4 linked regions of the Schizosaccharomyces pombe genome follow. The gene in region 1 interacts genetically with each later gene. Each region holds a gene or a part of one and is shown in the gene's direction. Other genes may lie near its edges. The genes, in order: rad55, top2, nth1 and dbl2.

Region 1 (3,802 bases):
GTGAGCAAACATACTACCAAGTGCAAAGATCATCATTAGCAAGCAAAGAAAGCCAGGGTCAACGGATGGATTTTGGAAGCTCATGATAAGGTTTAAACGATAACGAAGTAATGTTTCATGGAAAAAGAAAAAATTTGCTTGAACATGGCCATAGAAAGATTTGATAAGAAAATCTGAAACTTCAGGAGGAGGGAGAAGACTCAGCGCTTTTTGAACAGCATTTACATCATGTTCATTCGGAGGATAACTGTGATGGGTATGGGAATACGCGCTCAGCTCGGAAAAAGAAGGATCGACAAGTAGTTCACTTTGAACAGAGTCAACGAATGCTTCACCAGCAGAAGCTCCTATATAACGGGATTCGCCGTTAGAGTCAACTTTTATTTTTCCAATTAATTTCATGATTTCGTCAACGCTTTGATCGCTAGCATCAGCATTGATTCCATTGTTCGTATCCTCTGCTACGACCGTTGGATCTTGCTGAATTTGTGAACAAACAAGTGCACCTTGTGTAAGGGTATCCACGTCACGTTGACTATTGGTGCTTTCACTATTGAGGGAAAAGACATCTGAAGATAATAGTGATTTTTGGTTGCTTATACGATTGCAAACTTCAATCAATGAAGGTGTAGTATAAGTCGAAACTTTGGTGGAACAAAGACGTTCAACAATATATTCTAAACACTTGTATCTTTTTGAAAGATCAATAAAGTAGTCCTTAGAATAATCCATTTCTTTTTCATCCTTTACTGGATATGTGCATTCCAAATTATTGGAAGCACAAGCTTTGCATGGGTTTGCCCCGTCGCAACGAACTTTCCGGGCTTTGCAGTTAAAGCAGGCTAGAACCACCCTTCTTCGTCTCTCCATAGGAACACGACGTCTCCTATTATGCTGCTCCTGCTTCATGGCTTCGAACAGAACCGCCGTATTTTCAGGTGAAAATTCATGGCTCATTTTCCCCGTTTATGTTAGTAAAATACCAAGTTCATACCAATTTCCATAAATTTAAAATTCTTTTTCTATATTACAGAATTTCAATTCTGAAAAGAGAAAATGCTTAACTATGGCAATGACTTGGCAGAACTTGATTAGTAAATGCCTAAAAGAAAAAATTGTAGTACCCCAGCTCCTATGTTCTACTGGAGGGCGTAATTTAGTGTAGTGGTACGAACCTTTTTTATCAACGAAATCTAATATATACACATATTATTAGTATATGAGACCTTGTTTATACATAACTTTAAGAAAAAATCTAACCGATTTTAAATTTTTGAAAAATAAATACTGCTTGTATTGTACTTTGAAAATGGGAACTTCCGTCAATTTCTTTTCGTTGACGAGCTTATACGTTTATTGAAGCATGGCATGCAATCGATTTTTGTTAATAATTTTCCATTTTAGTATTTCTTCAATAAAATGAGTATTGTGTACATAGTAAACTAATTGCACACATATCGGTCGACACGCTATTTCATAAACGGAATGTAGTACGAAAATAATAGCTATTTTGATTAAAACCCTCTTGAGTTTCAATACAAATGTAAATGTTGCGTTATATGAACCCAAAGTTTAAAGTTCAAAGTCAAAGGCAGTAATGAATCATAGATTCAAATGAACTTGAGCTTACTCTTGCATTCCTGTTGACCTACCTAGTCAAATTTCCCATTATGTATAAAGGTTACGAATTTGTTACCTTCTAATCTGCTTAACCTTAAGACTAAAATAATTTATTCCTTATAAGAAACAACATTTAATGAAATGATTGCAAAGTAAAACACGTAGGATTTCCTTTGTCGTTCTACCAACACCTCCAAACCTTACAACGTATCGTTGTTTCTCATGTAAAGGGAAATTTTCCTATATCCTTTTTATGCTGTTATCAATTTAATATAAACTGTATCGCTGTTATTCTAGTAGGTCGCACTGTGCTGGATTTAACCTTCATTGAAATAAATGCTGTCTAGTCAACGTATGCGACTTCCAGCCTAGCTAACTGTGTCTAATACTTTTTAGATCGTCTAGTGACTCAACCTGCTATTCGTGCGTACGAAGCATTTTCTGCTCCAGGTTTCGGCTTTAATTCAAAATTATTGGATGATGCGTTTGGAGGAAGTGGTCTTAAAAGAGGGTATATTTCTGAAGTATGTGGAGCACCTGGGATGGGAAAAACAAGTTTGGCTTTACAGATTACTGCAAACGCTCTTCTTTCCGGTTCTCGTGTGATTTGGGTCGAAACTTGTCAACCAATTCCCATGGAGAGACTTCGTCAACTATTAGACAATCACGTCCCTTCTTCCCAAGATGAAGAGGAAAAATGCGATACTGATGAGTTATTAAATCTTCTCGATGTTGTATATGCACCCAATTTAGTGAATATTCTAGCTTTTTTACGAAATTTCGATCAAGAAAAACATCTTAAAGAAATTGGATTATTAATTATTGACAACCTATCAATGCCTATTCAACTTGCATATCCAACCAGTCCAGAAGATTATGCTTATCTACGTCTTCGTCGTAATACCAGCAAAAAAAGCTCCCTTTCAGATTCATCTCAAAAAGAAAACACTTTGACGTTAAACAAAGAAAATGAGTTCTCGAGTAAAGACGACTCGAATTTTGCATTTCATAACTCCTCTACCAAAACAACAATAAACCGCAGAAAAAAGGCAATCGGTACAATCAGTTCTTTGTTAAGCAAAATTACATCCTCTTGTTATGTGGCTATCTTTGTTACCACCCAGATGACTTCAAAAGTTGTTAGTGGGATAGGTGCTAAGTTGATACCGCTTCTCAGCACTAATTGGTTAGATAATCTATCTTATCGGCTCATTCTTTACAGTAGGCATTCAACTGAAGAATCAAAAGATGGACAGAGTCGTCCCTCTCATCAGCTTCTGCGCTATGCATTCATGGCAAAGCAGCCACCAGCTCATTCTGCAGAATCAGAGTTGGCTTTTCAGTTAACATCTACTGGTATTCAGGATTATCAAAGTATTCCTACCAATAGCTCACAACGACGTAAGAGATCCATTTTGGAATGTGAGTCCTAGGTAAAAATGGTGGCTTCAGTTACGAATTTTTTAGCATAGTGATGGTTGTTTTGCCCATATCTATTAATTTATTATACCTATTCATTACGTTGCATAAACAACTATGAATACTTGTCGAGTGTTGGTCAAAAGTTTCTCAATGATTTATTTGTGATCTCATATCTTTTCATAATGTATCATAAGCTATTTTGTTCGTTCATTTTTATGAAATTGCTAATTGTCATAGAGGAGGGAAATGATTAAGATATCTATATGTTTGCTGATTGACAAGTCCTTATTAATTTTCAATTGTTTAGGTGTCGCATTCAGTGTACGGACAATAATGACATTATGCTTTCGACATATAAATTCCATGTTGACATAGTGACGTCTCAAGCCTAGCTCAAATCTTTAAAACATGGGTTCAAGTCGCTAAAAATCTACCTGAACTTTACAGCTCTTTTGTTACTTTCGAAAGTGTAGTCTAATAAGTCCATTTTGAGCCTGACCTTATTTATACTTCGCTTTGTCTAGTGTGAGTTGGCGGATTAAGTATGTTTTAATGAACATTGTTTCAACCTACCTCTAATTAACATACTAACCTTTTTATTAGTATTTCCTTTCTCTTTTTATATATACATATTTTCAAAGTCTTAAATCGTTTATCAAGTAATTAGCAAGATGATGGGCACTCAACCATCTTACTCTATTCATACGCTTCGCGCGCCTCCTAAAGCGAAACAGAATCAAATTCCTCCCTCTACTACCCG
Region 2 (7,480 bases), on another chromosome or scaffold:
GTTAAACGAAGAATTAGCCAATTTGAGTGTTCAATATAGTCACATTCAAAATTAGCTGAGCAAATTCAAATAAACTAAGATTAGGTTGGGTTTCTTTTCAACAATCCCGCTCTAGGATTGTATTTAAATGAAATTATTTTTAATGCTAGATAAAACAATAGAAGTAATATTGGTAAAGTTTTTCTTGATTTTGAGGAACCTTGATGCTTCTCACTCGGACGTATTGGTGATGCTATTTTGACGCTGATTTTAGTTACAGATCAACCGAAACTTTTTTTCTTCTTAGATATTGACTTCTTTGCCACAAAATACTTCTTTTAAAAACGTCTTTCCACTTTCGACTTTGACAAATAATTTTTTTCTCAAGCGAACTTTTTTTAATATACTATTCGATAGGCGAGCAAATATCCAACGTGGATCCGGGGATAAGCAAAGGCCAAATAGAGGTGCAAGATAGCTAGAAATATGATTTTTTTTCAATAAAATGAATTTTAAAATGAAGAGGACGTTGGTGGAGGATAAGTTCAGGAGGTCTGATGTGTTCCTTGGTAAGCGAGAAATAGCCTTATAATGTGGGACACTGAAGAATCAACCTTTTGATCTGCTCTGATCGAGCGGAATATGTTCGCGATGTCCGATTCCGTTTTTTTGGACTATTATACACAGGAAATTAGGGAAGTGATGGTTATGTTAGATGGCTCAAATTTAGGTCAATTAACATTTTGTGCGAATATCCAATGAAAGAAGCCGCCGATCTATTGATCCACTCTTTTCTTCCATTAAATAATTTATCGCTTACTGACTTATGAGCAGCTGTCTGAGATACTTCAAAAAGCATTTTTCTTGCTCAGATCCTACACATTTCGTTTTGGCTATCCAATGCTTGCTTATACCTTGAAAGAGTGACTCCGAATATGCGTTTGTCTTGCGCTTCCATTTTGTAACTCTCCTTATTAAACAATCGACTTCACACTATTTTTCGTCCATTAATGGGAATTGGTTGGCAACATCGATAAATAATGGAAATACTTAAACCCATGCATCAGCTATCTGCTGGGCCTACCATTTTTTGTTACATTTGCAGCTTCTTTTAAGATTTTCAGAAAAAAGTTTATTGCATTTATTAGATGAGTCTGTTGTTTGAGAGTTCTTTCTATGTTTTTGTTCCTGTTTCATACCTGCAATTGTTAAATAGAGGGAGAAGCTATATTCACAAAATTACTATTAAATTGTTTGAACTTAATGATAGTTACATACAACAATGTTTCAAGAACAGCTTAATCGAAATAATATGGATTAATGCTGATGGTACAATCAAGAAGAATTTAAAAAAGCAGTTTCTGTTTCCATCATTGCTTTCCGTTCATCTCTTTTTATCGTGTTTAGCGTTTTTCTTTCAAATGACCAACTGTAATAGGTCACTCAATTCTTTTACAATCTTTGCGAGCATACTCATGAATTATGGATTTATCTAAACATTCATTTTCCATTTTCAAAATCCTTTGTTTATTCCATACTATATAAAATAGCACCAAGAATTTCAATTTTAATTTCAAAGCACAAACATTCTTTATTATACAATTAATTAATTATTACATTTGCTTTACAAATTAGTTACAGCATATGTTCCAAATACGGTTTTTTTACAGACTTCAATTATGTTTTAAGCGCATCCCTATATTAATAACGCACGGAAATTTAGAAATCCTTTCTTTTGCTATTTATTCTTAAAAATAATTTTCTTTTTCTTTTTCCGTAGTAATCAATTCCTCGGTTGCAACTTCTATCTACTTATGTTCTGTTCTCTCTTCCTATCCTTCACCAGCTACCAACTTCAATCATTGTTGGGATAGTTGAACACATAGCCCTTTAGAGCTTTTAAACAAACTATTTAAATTAGTACTATCATACATACAATCTCTGAAGTTTCCATCATACTATTAGTTTTTCGTCACGCGTTTGCTTTGACCGACTTTCTACATACGTGAATCAGTCTGTGGTGATATAAACGCTTGAATATCTATTTAATACTTTTTTAAACCAAAAAATTAATCCAAATTAACAAAAAACATTATATTTGGTATTCATTCGTTCTACCTTCTTTTTTATCCATTACTTTTTTTTCAGGTCACTTCTCCATTCGTTTTTTAATATCGTATACTAAGGGCAAATATCATTTTCTCTTCTTACATATCTTAATTTTGTTATTTGACGTTGCTTAAAGCGTGTCATTATTATATCCATTGATTTTTTAATAATAACGTTTACACGTTGGAATAACCTTTGATTTACTACATATTTCCAACTTAATTTTACAAACTATGTCCATTGATGCGGATTTCTCCGACTATGAAGATGAAGCGTCTGGAGACGAAAACGTTTTACCTAACACAACCACCAAAAGGGTATGCAAGTGTTTGTGGAATTTATTATTATTTTAAAATACTAACAACTTTTTTAGAAAGCATCTACAACATCCTCAAAGTCTCGCGCCAAGAAGGCAAGCACTCCTGACTTAAGGCAAACTAGCTTGACATCCATGACAGCTTCTGAACAGATACCACTAGTTACCAACAACGGAAATGGAAATTCTAATGTATCTACACAGTACCAGCGTCTTACACCGAGAGAGCATGTGCTAAGACGTCCGGATACATACATTGGCAGTATTGAGCCAACGACTTCTGAAATGTGGGTCTTTGACTCTGAGAAGAACAAGCTGGATTACAAAGCAGTGACCTATGTTCCAGGCCTTTACAAGATATTTGACGAAATAATTGTCAATGCTGCTGACAACAAAGTTCGCGACCCAAACATGAATACCCTAAAGGTGACTTTGGATCCTGAAGCAAATGTCATATCAATTTATAACAATGGCAAGGGCATTCCTATAGAGATTCATGATAAAGAGAAAATTTACATCCCCGAGCTTATTTTTGGTAACTTGCTTACTTCAAGCAATTACGACGATAATCAAAAGAAGGTAACAGGAGGAAGAAATGGTTACGGCGCAAAACTTTGCAATATTTTTTCTACTGAATTTGTCGTTGAGACAGCTGATAAGGAAAGGATGAAGAAATATAAACAAACTTGGTATGACAATATGTCCAGAAAGTCTGAGCCAGTGATCACTTCTCTCAAGAAACCCGATGAATACACAAAAATTACATTCAAACCCGATTTAGCAAAATTTGGTATGGACAAGATTGATGATGATATGGTATCTATTATAAAACGCCGTATTTATGATATGGCAGGTACCGTTCGTGAAACTAAAGTTTACCTGAACAATGAACGCATCAGTATAAGTGGATTTAAGAAATATGTGGAGATGTATCTTGCTTCTGACACTAAACCTGATGAAGAGCCTCCTAGGGTAATTTATGAACATGTTAATGACCGTTGGGACGTGGCCTTTGCTGTTTCAGATGGACAGTTTAAGCAGGTTTCGTTTGTTAACAATATTTCTACCATTCGTGGAGGTACACATGTTAATTATGTTGCCAATAAAATTGTCGATGCTATAGATGAAGTCGTCAAGAAGGAGAATAAAAAGGCACCCGTTAAAGCGTTTCAAATAAAAAATTACGTACAGGTATTTGTCAATTGTCAAATAGAGAACCCATCCTTTGATTCCCAAACAAAGGAGACTCTCACCACGAAAGTTTCTGCTTTTGGCTCTCAATGCACATTAAGTGATAAATTTTTAAAAGCTATCAAAAAATCTTCTGTAGTGGAGGAGGTTTTAAAATTTGCTACCGCTAAGGCAGATCAGCAACTCAGTAAGGGCGATGGGGGTTTGCGTTCTCGTATAACGGGTTTAACCAAACTCGAAGACGCAAATAAAGCGGGTACCAAAGAATCCCATAAGTGTGTCCTTATCCTCACTGAGGGAGATTCTGCTAAATCTTTAGCTGTTTCGGGTCTCAGTGTTGTTGGTAGAGACTATTATGGAGTTTTTCCGTTAAGAGGAAAACTACTGAATGTACGGGAGGCTTCTCATTCCCAAATCCTAAATAACAAAGAAATTCAAGCTATCAAGAAAATCATGGGATTCACTCATAAAAAAACTTATACCGATGTGAAAGGTCTTCGTTATGGTCATTTAATGATTATGACAGATCAAGATCATGATGGATCACATATTAAAGGTTTAATTATTAATTATTTAGAATCCTCGTATCCTTCTCTTTTGCAAATTCCTGGATTCTTGATCCAATTTATCACACCTATCATTAAGTGCACTCGTGGCAATCAGGTTCAAGCATTTTACACTTTACCCGAGTACGAATACTGGAAGGAAGCTAATAACAATGGACGTGGTTGGAAAATTAAATACTACAAGGGTTTGGGAACAAGTGACCATGACGATATGAAAAGTTATTTTTCAGACCTTGATCGTCACATGAAGTACTTTCATGCCATGCAGGAGAAGGATGCTGAATTAATTGAAATGGCATTTGCCAAGAAAAAGGCCGATGTGCGTAAGGAATGGCTTAGAACGTATCGACCTGGTATATATATGGATTATACTCAACCTCAGATTCCGATTGATGACTTCATTAATCGAGAGCTTATCCAATTCAGTATGGCTGATAATATCCGTTCGATTCCTTCAGTAGTAGATGGCTTGAAGCCTGGTCAGCGTAAAGTTGTCTATTATTGTTTTAAACGCAATCTCGTCCATGAAACTAAAGTCAGTAGACTTGCCGGCTATGTTGCTAGTGAAACTGCATACCACCATGGCGAGGTTTCGATGGAGCAAACTATAGTTAATCTTGCCCAAAATTTTGTTGGCAGTAACAACATTAATTTGCTGATGCCTAATGGACAATTCGGTACACGATCTGAGGGTGGAAAAAATGCATCGGCTTCAAGGTATCTAAATACAGCTTTATCACCCTTAGCACGTGTTTTATTTAATTCCAATGATGACCAGCTTCTTAATTACCAAAACGACGAAGGCCAGTGGATTGAACCAGAGTATTATGTGCCAATTCTTCCCATGGTACTTGTCAATGGAGCCGAAGGTATTGGTACTGGCTGGTCTACTTTTATTCCTAATTATAACCCTAAGGATATAACTGCTAATTTAAGACATATGCTTAATGGCGAGCCTTTGGAAATTATGACTCCCTGGTACCGCGGCTTTCGTGGAAGTATAACGAAAGTTGCGCCTGACAGGTACAAAATATCTGGTATAATTAACCAAATTGGTGAAAACAAAGTAGAAATTACTGAATTGCCTATACGATTTTGGACTCAGGATATGAAGGAGTATCTGGAGGCTGGTCTTGTTGGTACGGAAAAAATTCGTAAATTCATCGTGGACTATGAAAGCCATCACGGTGAAGGAAATGTTCACTTTAATGTCACGCTTACCGAAGCTGGCATGAAAGAAGCATTAAATGAATCCTTGGAAGTTAAGTTTAAACTGTCGCGTACTCAAGCAACGAGTAATATGATTGCTTTTGATGCATCTGGACGGATCAAGAAGTATGACAGTGTTGAAGATATTTTGACCGAGTTTTACGAAGTACGTTTAAGGACATACCAGAGACGTAAAGAGCATATGGTTAATGAATTGGAAAAAAGGTTTGATAGATTTTCAAATCAAGCGCGGTTTATTCATATGATTATAGAGGGGGAGCTTGTAGTTTCAAAAAAGAAGAAAAAGGATCTCATTGTGGAGCTGAAGGAAAAGAAGTTTCAACCTATCAGTAAACCAAAGAAAGGGCATTTGGTTGATTTAGAAGTTGAAAATGCTCTTGCTGAAGAAGAACAATCTGGTGATGTTTCGCAAGACGAGGATTCAGATGCCTACAATTACCTTCTTTCAATGCCTTTATGGTCTTTGACCTATGAACGGTATGTGGAACTTCTCAAGAAAAAGGACGAAGTAATGGCCGAACTGGATGCTTTGATTAAAAAAACTCCTAAAGAATTGTGGCTTCATGATTTGGATGCATTTGAGCATGCTTGGAATAAGGTTATGGATGATATTCAGAGAGAAATGTTAGAAGAAGAGCAATCCTCTAGAGATTTTGTAAATCGAACGAAAAAGAAGCCTCGAGGTAAATCCACTGGTACTAGGAAACCCAGGGCTATTGCCGGATCCTCCTCAAGTACTGCTGTTAAAAAAGAAGCTAGCAGCGAATCCAAACCATCTACAACAAATCGAAAGCAACAAACTTTACTTGAGTTCGCAGCGTCGAAAGAACCTGAGAAATCATCTGACATAAACATTGTCAAGACAGAGGATAACTCTCATGGCTTATCAGTTGAAGAAAATCGCATATCTAAGAGCCCGGGATTGGATAGCAGTGATAGTGGAAAATCAAGAAAAAGAAGTCAATCTGTTGACTCTGAAGACGCAGGTAGTAAAAAACCCGTCAAAAAAATAGCAGCCTCGGCGTCTGGAAGAGGAAGAAAGACTAATAAACCAGTTGCTACTACCATATTTTCTTCAGACGATGAAGATGATTTGTTGCCTAGCAGTTTGAAACCTTCCACCATAACATCCACGAAGGCTTCTGCGAAGAATAAAGGGAAAAAAGCAAGCTCGGTAAAGAAACAATCACCTGAAGATGACGATGATGATTTTATTATTCCAGGTAGTAGTTCAACTCCAAAAGCTAGTTCGACTAACGCAGAGCCACCAGAAGATTCAGATTCTCCGATTAGAAAGAGGCCAACCAGAAGAGCAGCGGCTACAGTGAAAACACCTATTTACGTTGATCCCTCGTTTGATAGCATGGATGAACCCAGCATGCAAGATGATTCTTTTATCGTCGATAACGATGAGGATGTAGACGATTATGATGAGAGTGATTAGCTTCTAAAATTTGGTGTTTTCAAACGCTATTTACAGTACAATCTGAAAAAATTGGATGAACATTGTAAATGGTAGGATACGAGTTCCAATTAATGTATTTTTTAAGTATTACACTTAGCTTATTAATTTTATATATACATTCTACCTCTGTGGGTTTAAAGACAACTCGTACACATACTCAAATTATTTATGAACATTATAATGCATATTCGTACTGTCTATTAAACATTTTTTTGACATTAAAAATTTCGTTTACTAACGTAGAAAGCGCTGATAATTGAGGCTACTATTTTAATATCTAGAAACAAAGATTCATTAATTAATTAAGTAAGCTCCAGGATACTTGTATATTTCGTTAAAAAAGCGCAATTTCAACAATTCCTATGAACATCCATGATTTCATCACAAAATCAAACATATCAGGATTTAACGTGAATTATTTGCTTTCTTGTGATTTTCATCTGATTTCTGGTCATTTACGTTACTGTAAACAAGCTTTTTAAAAAAAGGATTTTTTACGCAATATTATCGATATCCCAATCTGTAGTATAAAAAGTGCAACAGTGTTGAGTTTCCCGAAACCAGGCATTTTTGCGGTAGGGTCTGAAACTTTCACGAAACCATTTCACAACAAAACTTCTTCAA
Region 3 (3,948 bases), 960 kb from region 1:
CGAAGACCATGACTTGTTCTATTAATCCTTCCATCGTTTCTTGAAGGTATTAAGTTCTCCCCAGGCTCAAAATTTTGATATACATAACGATCTCCATGTAGAGTTTGCAAACTATCGCACCAGACGTCTTTCAACCCGATTACGTCTTTAAAGGCTTTAAGGAGCGGTAGTCTTGCACAAGACAGCCATGTGGGTGTATCGTAATCCTCGATTCGAAAAGCGTACCAATGTGAGAGGGCAAAAAAGGGCATTTCTAAACACATGAGAACGTTCTGATTTAGTAAGGAGTAAATCCAGCCTGTTCCATTTAAAAGTCCCAGCCAGTTTGTAATGGAAAGAACGGTTTGCTGCCAGTAAGAGGCAAATATAATAGCTTTAACGGAAAGGAATTTTGGGAAAGGGCGAAAAGGAGCGAGCTCTTCATGCAAGCAAACCCAAAAAGTTGTTAGTGAATATAAAGAAAGCGTAATTGAAATGTTATAAACAAGACCTATCCAAAGGTCTGCAGAAGCATAAACAGGTTGATCTTCTCTGTCGTAGACTCCGGTGACTTTTGTTAACAGCACGGCAATCACCAGAAATGGTTTAAGCCAAGTGTATTGTAAAATCCCACGTTTTATAGAAAGGAAGGTGTAAGGATCACTTAGGTCAATATCATCTTGCAAATAATTCAAGGGCCATAACCTAGGACGAGGCAGATGTCCATGCAAACTAATAACTGCAGCCCGTTCTCCGCCAAGATAATCAATTAATAAACAGAAAAAGCAATACAAAGCGAATGCCTAATTTATTGTTAGAAATTATTCCATTAAAACCTCAATTACGCCTCATTAACTAACTAAACTAGTAAACCAACATAGTACAACTCATAACAGCCAAACCACTCTTTCAGTCAACCCCTTTTCAAGCATTTTAAAACAAATCTGCAATATATTGATTGCCAAGGAAGGTACTTCATTCAATGGCAACGGCTAAATGAGAAAAACCTACCTCGTAAATTTCACGAAACGGTTCGAAAATACTTCCAATTTTTTCATTGTATACCGATAAAAACGATACAGAAGAGTAAATTACAATCCTAGCAAAGCATTAGTACATTTCTATATCAGTCAAAGAATTTCAATTTTACGAACATCATCAAAATTCGCACCACAGAACGCTGTAAGACTGGTTTTTTGTAATTTTTCAAATGAGTAATGATAGAAATACATGATAGCACTAAAGCAATGGCTACGAAGAAGCCGCATAATGCGACTATTTCGTTGTCCATGAAATTAGAGCTGATCGTGATGAAGGGACAAAAATGCAGGCAAGGTGGCTACCACAAGCTATAAGGGGGCCTTCTCCAATTCCAAACAGATACTACCTACTACGGGCTTTACGGTGTTTGTACGCATAAGCTATAGATAAAGTACCGAAACTTTGTGATGTGGAAGAGTTCATCGAAGCTAATATTGATTTACCTCTTTAGTATGGATATTGTTTTATAGCAAAAGTAAATTAATAATACTGTCTTACAGGATAATTTGCCCTATAGCTGTAGTACTGCTGTAAAAATCATTTGTTTCCATAATACTAGCAATTCGTGATCTTTAATTAATCTAATTTTTGTTTTTTTTTTAAACTCTACTTTCCTCCCTTCTGTATGATGGAGGACCTAAAGTAATGTCTCCCATAGCATTCTGATGATTCTTAAGCTGACTTTTTGAAAAAGAAGCAGTAAAATATAATGAGTGTTTGTTTCTTAATGCGTAGGAGAATTTCGCCTTGGCATATATATGGCTTAGTTAAAAAATTATTTCTTTTATAAAATTGAGAAACTCCAAGTCAGACTATTACCGCATTGTATTCAAAACAAATCACTTATAAATTTTAATATTTTTGCGCTCACCTGCGTTGTTTCTTGGATGTAATATCGCTAAAGTTCAGTAAATGAGTTGTTGAAGAAAATAAAATCTTTAGCCAAGACTGCAGACAAATTTGTATTTGTTAAGCAATGAGTAAAGACTACGGAACTCCTCCTGAGAACTGGAGGGAGGTTTACGATGAAATTTGTAAAATGAAAGCCAAGGTCGTAGCGCCTGTAGACGTTCAGGGTTGTCATACATTAGGAGAACGTAATGATCCAAAAAAATTTCGATTTCAAACACTGGTGGCATTGATGCTTTCTAGCCAAACAAAAGATATAGTACTGGGTCCTACCATGCGAAACTTAAAAGAAAAATTAGCTGGAGGACTTTGTTTAGAAGATATCCAAAATATTGATGAAGTTTCTCTAAATAAACTAATCGAGAAAGTTGGTTTTCATAACCGAAAAACCATTTATTTGAAACAAATGGCACGTATTTTATCAGAAAAGTTCCAAGGAGATATTCCGGACACCGTAGAAGACCTAATGACTCTCCCAGGTGTGGGGCCTAAAATGGGATATCTATGTATGAGTATTGCATGGAATAAAACTGTTGGAATTGGAGTAGATGTTCACGTACATCGTATATGTAATCTTCTTCATTGGTGTAATACGAAAACTGAAGAACAGACTAGAGCTGCTTTGCAAAGCTGGCTGCCTAAGGAATTATGGTTTGAGCTGAACCATACACTTGTCGGTTTTGGGCAAACAATCTGTTTACCAAGAGGAAGGCGCTGTGATATGTGTACTTTATCTTCTAAGGGCTTGTGTCCTAGCGCCTTTAAAGAAAAAAGTGGCATCACAATAACTAAGAGAAAAGTCAAAACGATTAAAAGAGTCAAAAAAAGACCTGCTTCTGAGTCACCTCCTCTATCTCCACTCTCCCTTCCTACAGATGATTTGTATTACCAAAGCATCGAAGATAAATCACTTATAAAACTTGAGGACTTGGACCCTGTTGATAGTATATCACACATGAATGAACCTTTGAAAAAAGAACCAGCCGCTGATATTGATGTAGATCAGAAGCCACCTGTCGCATTCCATTCAACTACAAAAGAAACTAGGTCACTGCGCAGGTCAAAGCGAGTTGCAAAAAAATCATCCCAGTATTTCTCCCAACAAAGTTTACAAGATATTGAAGATCTGGTTTAATTTATTTTTAGGACCGTAAATTTTGGACAACATAAATCTGTTATTTATTTACATGAATTACTCAAAATTATTTATTCTTTACAACTCCGTCTTTAAACATATTCAAGAACCTTTTGCTACTGACTGTATAGTTATAATATCCTCTACCTTTACTTTTTAATAATTTTTTTAAATCTTGGAATAAATTGAAATCATTAATGTTGTTATACCCTTCAACAAACAATGCAGAATGTAAGATACTCGTTAAATACTACTAAGAACAATTGGAGTTTCGTCGAACATATAATAAGTACAAAAGTTTTCGGTTAAATCCTCTGTGTGAGGCGTATACAGCATCCAATCGATAGGAATGGGGCCGGTTATAGATATGTCAGGGCGCACTGATGGTCGATCGGCATCAAACGTTCTGTTCAGTTCATAGCTGCTACCCCTCGCATCACGTAAAACACGGTTTTTACGGACCAGTCTGTTTAAGCTTCGAGTTATGTTCGAATTTTTAATTTTTCTATTCGAGTATTTACTAGAATATTAGTAATTGACGATGTCAGGAAAATATATAGAAAACTTACGCTTGAATAGTGTTAGTGATAGTAGAAAAAGAAACAGCAGCAGGGAAAGATTCTAAAACTTGTAAAACTATTTCATCTTCATTGCTATATTCTTGTAAGTATTCATCTATGGTAGGAATTTTTTCACTCTCCATGTATTGCTTATCCACTTCAACTGGTTCGGTCGAAGGTAAGGACGTCGAATGCTTGGTTGTTTTCGATTGTGATTCTGTTCCATTATTTAGACTTAGATACTGATCTCCCGTTACAGGTTCATTCATAGTAGCTGTAAAGGCAGACCTTTTGCTTTGGAGCTCTTGGACAATAGTGGAAGTT
Region 4 (5,069 bases), on another chromosome or scaffold:
TTTGATGGAATCAATGATGCGTAGACGGTTTCCCTCAAAGTCCATTGCCCACTGGTTCAGCTGACTACAGAAGTTAGATCATTGAGACGAAAAATGATTATAGCATACCAAGATGCGATGGTTACATATCGTTCCATAATGAACTGAATGCTTAACTTGAGGTTTATTCCCAAACAAGTAATTTAACTTATAATGTTTTTTTCGTACTATAAAAGTTCCAACTATGAGTGAAGATCGAAGTTTCTATTCAAATGTCTATTCACGGTTATGGCAGTAAGTAAGAGCAGGAGGTAGTTGTCATAGTAGAGTCAAGTGTAAATAAAGGGTTCGCATCATATAGCAAAAATGCCAGTTTCCCTAAGTAAGAAAAAGAAAATTTAAATAATTTTAAAGACCCTCTCTGATATTAGTAAAAAGAACCTTAATACTTCTTATGCAAATTTTGGCGACTCTTCTAACTACATGTGTATTAATTGTACATTACTACATAGCTTAAAAATTGATTTATAAAATCAGAATAATTGTAATTTTTATTTGATATTGCAATACAAATTCTAGTTTTAGCGATATATCTTCTCAAGTGAAGTCATTTCTGGGACTTCCTTTAATAAAAAAATTTGCCTATCTTTTTCAGATATACGAGCTAATAAATGAAATTTTTTGATTTAAAGTCTGTCTGGTTTTATTAGTGTTACTCGCTTATAATTACAGGTTTTTTGATGATTATAGAGCAAGCTGATATCTGGAATACGCACAACAGTAATTACATTTTTTTAATAGTACAAAATTGTTTTAATTTTATCCTTGAAAATATTTCATGATTTAATTAATATACTTAGTTCTTGGAGCATATAATCGAAATTACTTAGCTTAAAGAAGAAGAAGCAAAGCGACAGATGCCATAATGGTTGATACTCATTTTTTAACTCCCCTTCAGTTACTTCTTGTTGCAAATTATAGACAGATGATTCTTCAGCTGCTCAATAAATTTAATAGTTTTAGTGATTGCAAAGATCAGTCTTCTTTTTTGAAAGGGTATTAATTAGAATTGACAAAAGATTTCAGGTTTATTATTACAATGAAACAACTTTCTTCATCTTCTTGGGCTTTTTTCTCCTAAATTTCGTCCAAGTACTAAATTTTAGGTAAATTTCTATCAGTGCGCTTAAACCAACTTTAATAACTTAATTTGTACCTATCTTCGACATGGTGATGAGAATTGCAAGTTCAAGATTTCGAGCAGAATTACCCTCTATAGGCCTTTTATGTTGCTAAAATTATAACATAAGTACTTTTGCACCTAATCGTATCATCAATCATCTTTGATGAATTTTCTTGCCTGCAAACCTCAAAAGCGATAGAAGAACAAAAGAATCAGTTTTATCTCCAACTGCTATGTTTAGATTCTCTATTATAATGCGACGATAGATACAAATTTACAAGATAAATAATTTTACATTACGAATATTTGAAGCAATCTGCCTCTGTAAGCTCAACTGTAAACTTCATGGTTTAAGGTGAAAAAAGACATCTTTTTTTATATATCATTATGTATACACACAGTCTGTCCCTATGAAACTATCAATCGGGATTATTAACCATTGTTTCCGTTTCTCGATACAGGATATTGAAAATTATCTAACAGTTTTGCTTCCTTGGGCACTAAGAGACCTTTTACTAAAGAAAAACCCATCAAATATTAGACCTTGTAGATTAGTAAAATTAATAAAAATAAGCATCTCTCTTGAAACCATCTCAAGAGATAATCTGCTTCTGCTTGCGTATTATAAAGTTACCTTCAATCATTTCGGCGTGTAAACAAGTACCTCATATCAATAACCAAAAGCTCAACTCGTTTGTAGTTCATAAAGAAAAAGAAAAGAAAAGGAAACCTTGTTTAAGGATTCTACAAAGATGTAATTTTCTGGCTTGAGATCATTTACTTTCCTAGATTTCAACTTTCTGCTGTATACCAACCATTTCCTAACTACCATCCAACAAAAGCACGTAATTCCCATTCCTAAAGCGAGAGCAATTAATGCTCAAATGAGGTTTATACATGAAATAGATATTCTCACTCTTATTCTTTAATTAATTATTAAATAGGGTGGTTTGTGAGTTTTTTTCAACAATATTAAGCTTTTCGTAAGCCACCTTTCGGAACTGCCTTTACAGGCTTTAAAACTTATATTCTATGGATACAAGTTCCAATGTTTTTCATTATCAAGTATTGTGGACGTCTGATAAAGCAAAAAAAGTAAAAGTTTGGAAAGATGGGACAATGCGCTTCCACAGCTTCAATAATCGTGGAATTCTCTACGATTCTGATAACCGAGTCGTAGATGATTTTTTCCTTAACAACAAGAGAATTGTTCTGGATTCTGAAATTGAATTTAATAGAACTATTGTTTACGTTGAGAATTTACAAACAACTACTGAAGCGAATATTCCACCTATACCGAGGAAATCAAAATTGAGTGAGACAGGGAAGAGGCCAGCTTATTTATTAAAACCATTCCAGCCTCCATTTCACTCCGCTAACTCAGATGTATCTAACAATTCAAATGGTGCTTTATCGTCAAATATGTTAAAAACACACGCTCATCATACAAATTCAACAAAATCCACGATCTTCCGGAACGCAAATTTGCAATCTTATGGAGTAGATGACTCAGATATTGGTAGTTTGAGATGTTCAAGTAAGCATCAACTGTCAGTAACACCGGAAATACAACCCAAAGCTAAGTTTAGACCAAACTCATATCTAGCTTCTTCTGTTGAGGAATCTAATCGAGCTAACAATACCTCTCCCTATCCCCCATCTAACTCATCCGTAACTGCGCTACCGAAACCTTCGAAAATTGCATATATCCCTGTTTTGTCAAAACCCAAGTCTTTTAATGGCACCTTGGTTGAAGATCCTGTAGAAGAATTTGGAGAAGACGACATAGCTTCTGACTTTTTTTCTTCCCCTTCTGCCGATCTCGAGGCAGATGATTTTACCACTCTAAATAATTCAAATGCTGGTCATTTGTTACAAAACCTAAGTAATGATAACGTAAGTGTCTCCGTGAAGGCATTAGAAAATGGAAATGAAGAAGTTTCTAATAATCATGCTCGATCTCCTCATTCTTCCCGCGCTTGTAATACCATACCTTCCAACAAAAACGATGGGCTAAATGATGATCATCAAAGACAAGATTCTTCTGTTGCAGAACCCAGTCCTACTTCTAAACGTCTCCGTTTGACTCGCCTTCCGTTACCTCTGCTTCGGAAACCCACGGGGAAACGACAAAACTTTATTAATATCACAGTTACCGACCCCTCAAAAAACTTGTACGAAAGAAGTGTCAAAACTGCTGCCGAGCTGGCATCGCTTCAAAATGTAACAGAAACAACTGATAATGAAATACCAAACTCTCCTGATTTTCTAGATGCAGCATCAGAAGAGGATGAACACATTCCTTCGCTAGATTCGTCATCTCTTTTAACACCTTTGGCTTTGCCCAACAAAAAAGCCTTTCAACCCGTGAAGTTTCGTGTACCGTCTTTTTCATCTCCTTTAGTTAAACCAGCATCTTCGTCCTCGTTTGGTAGGAGTCACTCTCACTTAGGCACGTCCCTTCGCTCAAACGAACTTAATGGATCTAGTGCTTCTTCTTCAATCTTTCTACAATCCAACAATGCAGTCAATCCTAACGTTTCACCTTCTACTGTGCTTGAACATGCCAAACATCCTTCCTTGGCCAAACATTCAGGTGTATCGCTGAGAACAGGCTTGTTGATATATCCTAAATATGCAAATGGTTCGAAAAGAAAAGACGGTTTTGGAGCTACTTCTATAATATCTTCAGGGGAACATTCGTCGTTGCCTAAAAACTCGAAATCCAGAAATGTGTCGGTATTTTCTAGCCCTTTTAATGTCCCTTCGTTTACTGTTTCTTCTTCGGACCAAGTCCAAAAGAAAAAAGGAAATGTTCCTAATGCTATTGAAACGGACTCTTCTCCTTCGGATACCATTTCATCCTCGCCTACTGTTCGAGCTGTAAATCTCTCACCCAGCAAAAACCAAAAGCCTCCGAAAATACTTACCAAAATTCCGGATATTTTTTCTAAAGCGGGAAAGAAATCTCCTATTTTACCAACTTTTCAAGAGTCTTGTTCGTTACCTATTGAGCCTTTTTCGTCAAACATTACGGATTTGCCATTTGTAAATACAGTAACACTTGCTTCAACGAGTAGCAAGATCAAAAGGGCAAAGTTAAAAATGCTAAAATTTAAGCATGCCATGACTACACAAGGACGCGATCTCGATTCGGACGAAGATGGTGACTTTATTTGAAATTAATTTTTCTTTCGTACGTTGAAACTTCTCTCTCAAGCCGACTTTGTTACATATAATTTTTAATTCAAAAAACAGTACTGAATTTTGATTTCTGGTTTCCTTCATGTATTATTATCAACATTTATTTTTCCATAGTTCATTTAGGTTTTAGCTATACTTATTTAGCTCTTTTACATATAATTAATTTTTTTTTTTTAAACATTAGATTTCAGCTTGTTTTTGGTGTTGTTAGTACAATTCTAGGTTTTGATTTTCATTTTTTAGTAGCACATACATTGCTTTTTCAAAACCTTGAGTTTCTTCTTTGAACCTTTGAGCAAATAAGTATCAGATTTATTCTTTTCTTTTAAAAAACCAACTATTTGGGTTATTATGAAAATGTTGTAAATATTTTAAGTTAAATTATCTTTTGTAGTCATTTATTTTCTATACATGTTTAAATTTTTCAGCACTAAATAGTGTCTGTTGGTGAGCTCCAAAAATCTTGTTAAAGATGGGTAAAAAGCGAAAACAGACCATAAAAAATGACTATAATGAAAAAATTACGAAAAGAAAGGTCAAAAATAATTTGACTGATGGAAAAGCTAGAGCGTTAACGGTTTTTGAGTCTTTACCTTTAGAAGTTTTAAGATTAATATTTTTGTTATCCAATAATTCGAATTTGGCAGTGACTTCTCGTAGTTTGAGACACCGATTATCTTTAAGGAATAATACGCCTATCTTC

What was found.
Region 2: mutations in rad55 (region 1) and top2 impair growth when combined (synthetic growth defect), as found in Schizosaccharomyces pombe (one study listed by BioGRID).
Region 3: mutations in rad55 (region 1) and nth1 impair growth when combined (synthetic growth defect), as found in Schizosaccharomyces pombe (2 studies listed by BioGRID, with this or other methods).
Region 4: of rad55 (region 1) and dbl2, a mutation in one rescues a mutant of the other (synthetic rescue), as found in Schizosaccharomyces pombe (3 studies listed by BioGRID, with this or other methods).

What each region holds. Positions count from the first base shown.
Region 1 is NC_003424.3:2,065,919-2,069,720, reverse strand, and holds rad55 (DNA recombination mediator, RecA family ATPase Rad55/Rhp55), read left to right. Parts: upstream 1-1,806; 5' UTR 1,807-1,956; coding exon 1,957-1,972; intron 1,973-2,016; coding exon 2,017-3,053; 3' UTR 3,054-3,279; downstream 3,280-3,802. Other genes in the region: SPOM_SPAC3C7.04 (transcription factor), read right to left, coding at 1-957; eisosome BAR domain-containing protein Pil2, read left to right, coding at 3,717-3,802. UniProt on the Schizosaccharomyces pombe protein: Required for radiation resistance and meiotic viability and acts in recombination and recombinational DNA repair pathways.
Region 2 is NC_003423.3:1,975,608-1,983,087, reverse strand, and holds top2 (DNA topoisomerase II), read left to right. Parts: upstream 1-1,820; 5' UTR 1,821-2,321; coding exon 2,322-2,405; intron 2,406-2,431; exon of another isoform or gene 2,432-2,461; coding exon 2,462-6,835; 3' UTR 6,836-6,927; downstream 6,928-7,480. UniProt on the Schizosaccharomyces pombe protein: Control of topological states of DNA by transient breakage and subsequent rejoining of DNA strands. Topoisomerase II makes double-strand breaks.
Region 3 is NC_003424.3:1,105,889-1,109,836, reverse strand, and holds nth1 (DNA endonuclease III), read left to right. Parts: upstream 1-1,960; 5' UTR 1,961-1,996; coding exon 1,997-3,064; 3' UTR 3,065-3,307; downstream 3,308-3,948. Other genes in the region: transporter Hfl1, read right to left, coding at 1-782, 991-1,078, 1,134-1,270; Lsd1/2 complex PHD finger domain-containing protein Phf2, read right to left, coding at 3,308-3,584, 3,634-3,948. UniProt on the Schizosaccharomyces pombe protein: Bifunctional DNA N-glycosylase with associated apurinic/apyrimidinic (AP) lyase function that catalyzes the first step in base excision repair (BER), the primary repair pathway for the repair of oxidative DNA damage.
Region 4 is NC_003421.2:308,345-313,413, forward strand, and holds dbl2 (DNA recombination protein Dbl2), read left to right. Parts: upstream 1-1,969; 5' UTR 1,970-2,194; coding exon 2,195-4,342; 3' UTR 4,343-4,551; downstream 4,552-5,069. Other genes in the region: qns1 (glutamine-dependent NAD(+) synthetase), read right to left, coding at 1-64, 109-137; SPOM_SPCC736.02 (uncharacterized protein), read left to right, coding at 4,839-5,069.